Arabidopsis thaliana: one gene and its partner. The protein of the gene in region 2 interacts with the protein of the main gene of each other region in a pairwise test. Each region holds a gene or a part of one and is shown on either strand. Other genes may lie near its edges.

Region 1 (6,801 bases), on a different chromosome or scaffold from region 2:
GAAAATACTAGTCTGCCATGGTTACGTTTACGCATTTTGGGCAATTGCAGAATTTTAAACACAGAAAGGTAATAATCATAATCAATCATGTACTATTTTAAAATAAATTTGCAAAAAAGCATAATGAAAATTTCTGTGTGCACCATTTTTCAACTAAAATAGTACATACATTATCCCACATATTTTGGTACATTGTAAAAAATGAAATGACAGCATTACAATGGCTTTCCCTCTAATTTCATTCCTTATAATGATGAAATACAGATATTGTGAAATATTCCTAAAATGATAAAAATCTAATTCTAATATAGAAAATATAATAAAATTAATGTTAAATTTAAGGAAAATATAATAAAATTAAGGTTAACTTTTAGTTGAAAAAAAGGCTAAATCTATGTCACATCATTCTATTTAATTAATCCGTGCAGTATACTCTAATATTTATTTTCCTTAAAAAAGATTAAATCATCATCAAATATCTAGTATGTATTAGATATCAATCTAAAAATAAATAAAAAAATTGTAAGAACAATACAAGAGTATCCACATATGTAAGAACTTAAGAAATGAAATTTTCAAAATCAAGCAAAATACTTCAAAACTAATATATATATTGTAATTTTGAAAACCTTAAAATCCAATGGCATGCTTTACACATCCCATAAACTCACATATCTCTCGAGTAAAACGGTACACATGAGACATCCATGGAGACCAGAAGAAACACAAACAAACACATAAATGGATTCAAAGACAAAGATAAAGTTGAAGTTCTTTTGTGAGCAAAACACACTTTAAAACATAGGAAATAAGCTTCTTTATGGGTATCAAACCCTAGTGATTGTAGGAGAAGAATCAGGCTGGCTCACAGAAGATGACTTTGATGCTTCCATCATGAGAGCAGCTTGCTCTAAACAACTCTTGTTATCGTCATTCGCATTCTCCACTTCCTCTTTCGTGTATAAGTGTATCTTCCACACCACATTGCAGAAATCACTATCCATAGCAGAAAGCCAATTTCAAGTTAGGAGAAAAGAAGTTGTGATTGACCTTTAGAAGGTATGTATAAAGAACTTACTGCCATGGATCATCGCCAACGACCATCATATCGTTCTCACTATCAGTATATAAGATCCTCCATCCTTTTTCAGGATCCCTGAGAAGCCCTTCCATGTTGAACAGCCGTTCAAGCTCCATAAGGAGATCATCATACCCGTTAAGTCGCGACAAATCAATAGCTCTCCCCACTTGGCTTCCTTGCTTGTGAACCTTTTGATAACAATTCAACACAAGAACTGATTAGAAGAGACATCTAAAACTGCAACTCAAAGTAGCCAAAGAGATGATAAAGAAAACGTTTTACCTTTGTACAGATTCTTTTGCTCGAGCTTTGCGGCTTAGATGCAGGTGTCTCCACTGGTAAGGAGAATCCGAAAAGTTTACATCCTGATGAAGCATTCATATTCAACTCACTGCCTTTCTGTTTTCCCATCATATCAATCTTGAATGGCAAATCAGCTGTAACATTATTTGGTAGGCCACCTTCATTTTGTGCATCAAACTTTCTAGTCTCTTCACCAAAGTTTATTGCACGTGAAGGGGGACCCGAGGATTGGTTTCCCGCATTGTATGGATTCTGATACGGAACATGAGTGCTCCTAATCCCATGCAAAGCTAGCGGATAGTAACTTGACTTGTTGGCTTGGTAAGCAAAGGGATTAGGAGCAGCAGCTGGACTGAAACCAGCAAATTGCGGGAATGATTTAAGCGAGCAAATTTCTTGACCTTGCAAGACCCTTGGAAACCTATCCAGGTCCATAACACCTGAACAAGCTGGGTTCACGCCAGTAGCATCTACAAACTCACCAAATCGATCCTTGACTCTACTCGACACAAGAACTGGATTTGCATGAGACTGCATCGCAAAATCCAGTATCCGGCGGTTCATAACATCAAACCCCTGTGAGGGTGATGCAGAACCTATATTTTCTTGACCTTGCAAGACCTTAGAGGGTCTAACCGACTCCTCAAAGTCCAAAAAACCACCCCTTTCTGCTGCAACCAAGAACAGTTATCAATAATATACTGATGAAAATTGAGAACTGTTTGCAAAAGCATATACTCCAAAGAGAAGAGAGGTCTATATAATTTACTTGTTATGGGGTTTCCGGGTGGGGTAGTATCCAGTAAACCTGCCCATGGCCTTTTAGGCCTTGGAGATGACTGAATGCTCAAGTGTGGGAGAGAAACCGAGGGATCAATCTCCCAAGGTGAAACTCTTTCTTGATGATCACTCACAAAAGACTCATCCCATCGCACCTGCCAAACAAATGTGAAAGATTTAGATATCAATCTTCGAAAATGAAAAGTCTTCTACACGTTAATAGACAGATACTCCAAAAAGATGAGAGGACGCACCAACAAGCACCTCCATTTAGAGTTTGGCCACCTATACGGGTCCAAGTCACAGACTCCAGTCACTACACCAGCGCATCTGCAAGAAAGATCGAATATAAATTCTCGTCCAACAATATTAGCTACACAACACAGAGAAAGAAGCAAGAAAGAAACAATACCTTCTCTCAGGAGAATCGTCCATTTCAAATCGCATTCTAAATCTTGTGCCTATGCAAACAGGACTCCTGATGCTTGTGATATACTTCTCATAAGGAATCACAAACTCTGCATGCGTCGCTCTGTATATAAATCCACAAATCAACATTATAGTTCTTTATTTCTTACTGAACCTAGTTAAGAATCATTACGAATGGCAGCTTTTCATTTTTATCTCACCGTGGACTGTAGAACACATGAAACATGCTTTTTGTAGATACAGCATTAGCCACAAGAGACAGAATGTTTGAACATGAATTCTTCTCAATGATTGAGTCAGGAAGTCCATTTCTTGGCCGTGCTGCTCTTCTGATTCCTAATCTCAGCTCTCCTCCTTCGTCTCTATAAACGCCGATATTAGTAATGAATGTAAACATTATTGGATCAAGGGCTTCAAACCACCAAAGCAGAGGGAAACACCATGAATCTACATCACCATTTGATAAACTGAAATCTTACGATTACCTCAGAAAGAGAACCGCATCACCAGAGACGAGATTCTTTTGACTGACAAAGATACTCCAACCAGTGGTGAGTAGATGCCTCCTTGGTTGACCTATATTAAAAAGAGACAGAACTAAACATTTTGGTTTCACTGACGAAGAAAAAAGAAACGAATAATAACAAACTCAAAACCACCTCTATAGATATGGCGAAACTTCCACTCTACTCCATGGAGGTCCTTTGCAATGAGCTCTTGAGATGGCCTCTGTTGTTTGTAGTCCTAACACCAGTGGAAAATTCACAAATAAGGCTTATAACAAGAAGATAAAACCTCTCCTTAAAAAAAAAAATAAGGAAATGAGATATAGAGAATTATACAAGAGGAGCAAAACAATCTTCAGCGGCTCTTCTAGGTACAGAGAAGCCTCCATGTGTGCTTGTGTCAGACGCTGTTAAGGTTTTACAGAACATATGAGGTGTCCGCTTGACGGATGAGCTTCCGTTCCTCTCTTCCTCCCCTCCTAACTCCTTGACCTCTTTCCCCTCCCCATTTAGCATCGAAAACTATAAAAACCAAGAAGTTACTTCAGCATCTTAACATCACAGAGATTATAAATGAAACTCAACAAGACCAACGGTTTCAGTGATTCCTCTGATCCTGTTAAACCAATGATGAGTTTGAGTCACTTAGAGAACAAACAAGATTATTCACAATCTCTTTAAACCGTAGCATCTAAAATCACACCTAGAATCTGGAATTACACTAGTGATATCAAAAATCAATTGAATTGTCAAAAAAGCAACAAGTTTGAGTAAAAGAGAGTACCTCTTGAAGTGGAAGCAGAGTGACTTGAGTGTAGACCTCATCGGTGTCCTTATTAGCCTTTTGTTTCCCCAAAAGAAGGAACCAAGTTTGCAAACAATTACCACAATTAGAGAAAGAAAACAGAACTTGTTCAAGAATAGTAAAATAGAACACAAAAGGAATGTTCTTTATTTGGGTAGAGTGATACAGACAGACTTACAAGCAACTGGACATTAACCACCCTGCAGACGATTTGGGGATTAAGGTCAAATTTGGGGATTTCAAGAGGAGACGAATATGAAACCATAGCATCTTGCTCCAAATGACCTTGAGGGAAATAGACAACTACATTGCCTTTCTTGGGAAGACAAGTGAGAGGACCAGCACAAGCATGCCAAAGCTCAGAGTAAATGGAAGATGCAGAGCCTGTAGAAGATGATGACGATGATGATCCGGAAGAGCATGAAGAAGAAGAAGATGGTGAAATTCCAAGCCTACCCTTGTCAATTCTTGTTCCTCCTCCTACTCCTACTCCTACATCATCATTCTCCTCCTCTTCCACCTCCGCAATCTCAGTATTCAAGTCAAATTCCATTGAAAAAGCTTCTCTTTTAAGAGCAAAAGGAGACAAGAAGAAAACAAAAAGTTTCTATTTTTAATCAGATTACAACAAAACAAGTAAAACCCATCAAAGGAAAGTTTGCAAAATTCGAGCTTTGAAGTGACAGAATTCGGAATTCCTCTCCTTTTTCAGCTAAATTTCACAAAGAAGAGGCAAACTTAGCTATTGACGGGAAAGATGAGTCATAAGTGTGGAATAACGAATCAGAGACAGAGAGAGAAGAAGAGAGAGGAAGGAGGAATCAAATGAGAACAAGGGTTTCAGAGAAGGATTCTTCTTCCTCCATTTGCAGGTACTGAGAAGAGGGAGCACAAGGAACAGACATAGACTAAAATTTGCAGATTGGAAAAAAATATACTTTTTAAAGAGCAAAAAAAAAACAATTTAGTGGAAAGAGAGAGAGAGAGAGAAAGAGAGGGAGAGATAAGCGGGGGAGACAAAGCCAAGACAGAACAGAACCCACACCTACACTCTCCCTTTCTCCTTCTTCTTCTTCTTCCTCTTCTTCTCTCTTTTTTGTTTTTGTTTCCCAATAAAGACTTATTTATTCACATGAAATTTTATATATAAAAACTATATTTGTGTCAATATACACACGTTTACACAAAATAAAAGTTTTCACTTTTTTGCTAATTATTACCGTTTTTGATTTTCGTCCTTTTTGTTGAAAGAAGAAATGTTAAAAGTTTAATTAGGTGCTAATAAGACTAATTCAATCCATTGTCTAGATTGTTTTCTTCAAAATCAACTGTTTTTTAAATACGTCAAACCATCGATGAATCAATCGTTTAATTATTCATACTAGACTATTCACTCAAAATGAACCATCAAAGTTTATATGCATCTATTGGATTTATGGTATTACGAAATTGACGTAACCCTTTGTTTTTCTCATTCACACCATAATTTTCTTTAACTTGTGTGAGTTGTGAGGAATAAAAACCGCAAATTGATTAGCTTTTTCTTTGCATACTCTTACAAAGGAAACAGTATCTCTTTGGAATCTTTCTTTGTTCTTTCTTTTTTTATGTTATGAATTTTTATTTGTTTTCGATTTATTAGAAAAAATGCTTTTTCATTGCGTTGTTAAGAGCCAACCAACCGGCTAAAGACAGAAGAGTAGGCTCCTTTCGATTTTGTAACAAAAGCACTTTTTCTCTCTTTTTCTGAGACAAACAATATGAAAATCAGCATTTTGTTATTGATTAACTAAAGTACTGTCTGTGTTTAAAAACCTAATCAACTAAAAAAAACTTTCAGCGGTCTGTAATATAAAATTTATACTTCAATAACCACACCGACTCTTTCAGTAAAATAAAACTACTCAAATACTTACTACTTATTGGATAAATATCTTCAAATGGGTTTAGTAAAAATAAATAAAATATATTTGATGGTCCAAATGATTGCTTCATAATTTGAAAACATTTATATATACATTTTTGCAGTCATTTTAGCAAATAAATCTTAGAGTTGAACTTATTTACAACCCAATGCCATTAGCATTAAATCTTTTTTTCAAAATAATTAATTTTACTTTAAATTTTTAATTTAAATTGTCAATCACATTATCAATCAAATTTAATCCAAACAAACTTCACATCAATCCCTTAAAATTAGCATAAACGTATTTTATTAACAAAATTTTTTGTTTAAATAAATATTGTTCTTACTAAATATTTTTTGTTTAAATAAACAAATCATGTATTTGAACTTATTTACAATGTCATGCTACTGACATTAATTATTTAGGCATGAAAATATTTATTTAAAGATTTAAATCTTTTAAATTTTGCTTTTAGAGTTATTATATCATTTACCTAAAAGGCAAAAAATATTAATTTTTTAAATATTATTATTTGTATATTTAAACTTCATAAAACATTATTAATATTTGAATTTATAAAAAGTTTAATCTATCAAAAATAATTAACATCATTATATAATATATAAAGTTTAAAAAAATCTCAAAAAAAATTTCGTCATATTTTGTAATTCGAAATTTTAAGAATGAACATATATTAACCAATTGGCGAAAAATGTGTGGGTACAACGTCCCGCAACGACTAAAATATTTTGACAATGATTCATAAACATATTATAAATAAGATCAACATTAATAAAATAAATAGTTTTTTTTTGTGGACGGGTTTGGCAGGACGGGTTTGGCAGGACGTTACTTAGTAACAATGGTAAACTATAAAATAATTTACAAATTTTTATATATATTAATTTTTAAAAATGAACTGTGTCCGCGGTGTACCGCGGGTTAAAATCTAGTAACATGTATTTTTGCTCATATAATATTAGTTTGCTA
Region 2 (3,265 bases):
ATGCCTTACAAGATCTGCAGCTTAACACCAAAGGTTGCCCCTTGAGCGCTATACGCATGAAGTATAGGCAAGAGAAAGTAAGCTTATCAGTTAAAACCACATACTAAAACCTGTTTGGTATAACTTTAGTTTGGTTTCCTTGATTCTCATAAGACTTATTATGGATTTGCAGTACAAATCTGTGGCGGTTCTCACGTCTCCAAAGCTACTTGACACGCTATTCTGAAGGTTTCAACTCCTAACCGATAATAGTTTTGTCACATTGATGGTCCAATTTCGTTTTCATTCATCTGTTACTCTTTGTTCATAAAACAGAATTTCCACAGTCCCACTCATCTAATACCTGATTAGAATTCGGTTTAGCCTAGTTTGATCCGTGGTTTGGTTCTTCCAAACCCGGGAACATCTAATCGGTACCTAGAGTTTTTTTTATTGTAACGAGAATGTACATTTTTCTCCCATCTTGAGGCAATGTAAACAGATTCGGAATTTTCATATCAGTTTTCTGATATGAAGTAGGTTTAAGTATTTATATTTCAAATTTCATTGATTGTTGATATTGAACTGTCATGCAGTAGCTTATAAGAACCGCCTCTAGACTTTAGTCCAGTGACCAAAAGATAAAGATGAATGAACTATGTCAAAGAAAACAACTTCTACAGAAATTTCGGAAATCTTAGACTTCCGAAGAGAAATATTGAGTAACTGCAAAAATGTATATTTAGATATCTGTAAGGCTCACTCACATTCACATGTGACTATAAATATCATTCATCCTCTGTTACATGATCTCTTCATAATCCTTAACCTCTTGCACGATCCAAGGAACATTCTGCACACAAATAGTTTCATAATTTATTAGATATCAATTAAATAAAAGAAAGTAAATTTGAATGTTATAGAGGTCGCTAGAAACTTACTCCCAAGGAACATCTCCAGCAAGCATCCAATCTCCATCTTTGTCTTCATATATTGGTACACATTCACTTTCCTTCAACGTATCATCTTCATTTTCATATATAAAGATTATAAAGTTAATATCGATGTTTTGGATCATTAGTTGCCTTGATAAGTAAAGACTAAAACCAAAAATATATACTATATATAGAAACATAAACTAACCAAAATTGATATAGCATCCGAACAGAATTTGCAGAGCGGAAGCAAGATCTTGGTAACATTTGTACATTTCCAAATCAATCTTCCTTAAAAATGCAGCTCCATCTACACTCACTTTCACGTACGAACTTTTGGTCCGTTCGAGACTGTTCTTTCTCCGGTACGAACAAACCGGTGGCCAACCCACAACTTGACTCTTTTTCGCCGGTTCACATTTCAAATCAATCTCTACTTCCGGAGAAGCCCTCTTCTTCCCGGAGATGGACTCACCGGAGACGACGATATCTCCGGGAAGACCTAGCCGTAGTTCGGTGATTTCGAGTCCAAGATTATTACTCTCATTCGCCATCTTTGATGTTTTTGATTGAAAGTATTGGTGTTAATGTGTTTGAACTTTATTCTGTTGCCACTTTATATGTTCTCATGGGAACATAAACGATGGCGTTTGAGACAAGCTTGTTTAGCATTGATTTATCTTGTCGGCCCCATTCGAAGATCTTGTCGAAATTTTTATGTCATGTTTTTTCATTCCTTTGCCGCTTCGTGTTTAAATGTCGATAATATGGATCCGTTGGTTCGACACACTGGACGGCCACGATTTTGTTACCGACAAAGTAGGGTTTCTTTCTCAGCCGTTGGATCAGAAACACGTTACTTTCTATTAGACATCCCATGTTATGTGTGATTTGTTATGTCTGTATCCCATTCTTTTAATCAACGACATAATAATAAAACAACATATTCATGGTCGAATATATATTAGTGCACTTTAAAATCTACGTATATTTATGTTTCTCGACAACCGAACACGTGTTACTCAAGGCTAAGACAAGTTATTATATTATTTCATTTTTTTCTACACGTAACACACTACACAGTGCATACATAATTTCAAAGAAAAAAATGCATCTACGTTTTCGTCATATATCTTGTTTCTGCTATTCACACATGTGCCCGATACTTTCATTACATCATACGTAATCTACACATGTACACCATACTTTTGTCATTATTTGTTACGAAATAGAAACAGAACTGATCAAAATATCAATTACGGGATATATTTCCATTTTTCATAGATATTTCCATATCTTTGTATCTCCAATAGTACATTTTTGGAATGTTCACATGTTGATAGATAAGCTAGATTAGTCAAATTTCCTTGTACACAATTTCTAGTTTTCGATTGATCATGTAGAATTGCGTATAATATATTGTCGGCTGGCTTTAGCCAATGAATAACACAACAAGACTTTGTGATAATGGACAGCGAATCCCACAGTGATAATGATGATCACATAATCGACATTACAAACGATGAAGATTCTTCATCAAGATCGTCTTTGGACGAGAGAAGCTATCCTTCATTAAGTTCGTCTCTGTCTACGGATGACGAATCGTCAGATGAAGGTGCAAGTTCATCTACGAGAGACTGTGGTAGTCTTTGGAATATAATGGAATTAGTAGTCACTTTGGTTCAGATTGTTGCATCATTAATAGTTTTAACTCTGGCAAAAGATGAACATCAACAAGCACTTTTGTTAACATGGGTCATCGGTTACACTTGTGGCTGTATTACCATTACGCTCCTTATTCTCCTCTCGTGTGTCCGCAAATACAACCGAATTGGTGTTTACTCAAAAACGAGGTATAATAAACAACACTTGTTTCACTTAACATTAAGAGTTTAATTAGCTAAATCAAACCGAACCGTTGTTGGTGGCAGAACGGATAGGGTAATGGATGCTTTGAAGATGGGGAATGAATGTTTCTTTGTTGTGTGGTTAGTTATGGGGATTCTATGGATTTGTTATGGACACTCATCTTCTTCTGATACTCCTAAGCTCTACAGGTTTGACTCACAATCATGTCACAGTAGAGATTTAGTTAAACCCTAACTAATCAGTACTAACTTTTGTCTTCTTGATTATGTTTTGGCAGGTTATGTGTAGTCTTCATTGCTTTCAGTTGCATTAGATTTGCATATGCATTACTATTATGCGCAGGTATTTTTTTCGCTTAATGTTCACTAGAGTTTGGAACATTTTTTTCTCATATCTATGATGTGGATAAGTTGAAATCAAATGATGTAGATTCTGTAAGGGAAGGTATAGGAGGTAGATTTGTTTTCAAGAAACCGAGCCAT

The links.
Region 1: the proteins of IAA5 (region 2) and ARF4 interact in a two-hybrid assay, tested with the Arabidopsis thaliana proteins (2 studies listed by BioGRID).

The regions. Positions count from the first base shown.
Region 1 is NC_003076.8:24,307,731-24,314,531, forward strand, and holds ARF4 (auxin response factor 4), read right to left. Parts: upstream 5,055-6,801; 5' UTR 4,458-5,054; coding exon 4,083-4,457; intron 3,941-4,082; coding exon 3,884-3,940; intron 3,622-3,883; coding exon 3,436-3,621; intron 3,338-3,435; coding exon 3,253-3,337; intron 3,170-3,252; coding exon 3,079-3,169; intron 2,956-3,078; coding exon 2,794-2,955; intron 2,697-2,793; coding exon 2,577-2,696; intron 2,495-2,576; coding exon 2,419-2,494; intron 2,320-2,418; coding exon 2,154-2,319; intron 2,053-2,153; coding exon 1,364-2,052; intron 1,270-1,363; coding exon 1,079-1,269; intron 997-1,078; coding exon 828-996; 3' UTR 525-827; downstream 1-524. UniProt on the Arabidopsis thaliana protein: Auxin response factors (ARFs) are transcriptional factors that bind specifically to the DNA sequence 5'-TGTCTC-3' found in the auxin-responsive promoter elements (AuxREs). Could act as transcriptional activator or repressor.
Region 2 is NC_003070.9:5,364,993-5,368,257, forward strand, and holds IAA5 (indole-3-acetic acid inducible 5), read right to left. Parts: upstream 1,506-3,265; 5' UTR 1,469-1,505; coding exon 1,123-1,468; intron 1,006-1,122; coding exon 921-1,005; intron 833-920; coding exon 772-832; 3' UTR 520-771; downstream 1-519. Other genes in the region: CYCA2;3 (CYCLIN A2;3), read left to right, coding at 1-77, 173-226; AT1G15590 (E3 ubiquitin-protein ligase), read left to right, coding at 2,382-2,767, 2,846-2,971, 3,213-3,240. UniProt on the Arabidopsis thaliana protein: Aux/IAA proteins are short-lived transcriptional factors that function as repressors of early auxin response genes at low auxin concentrations.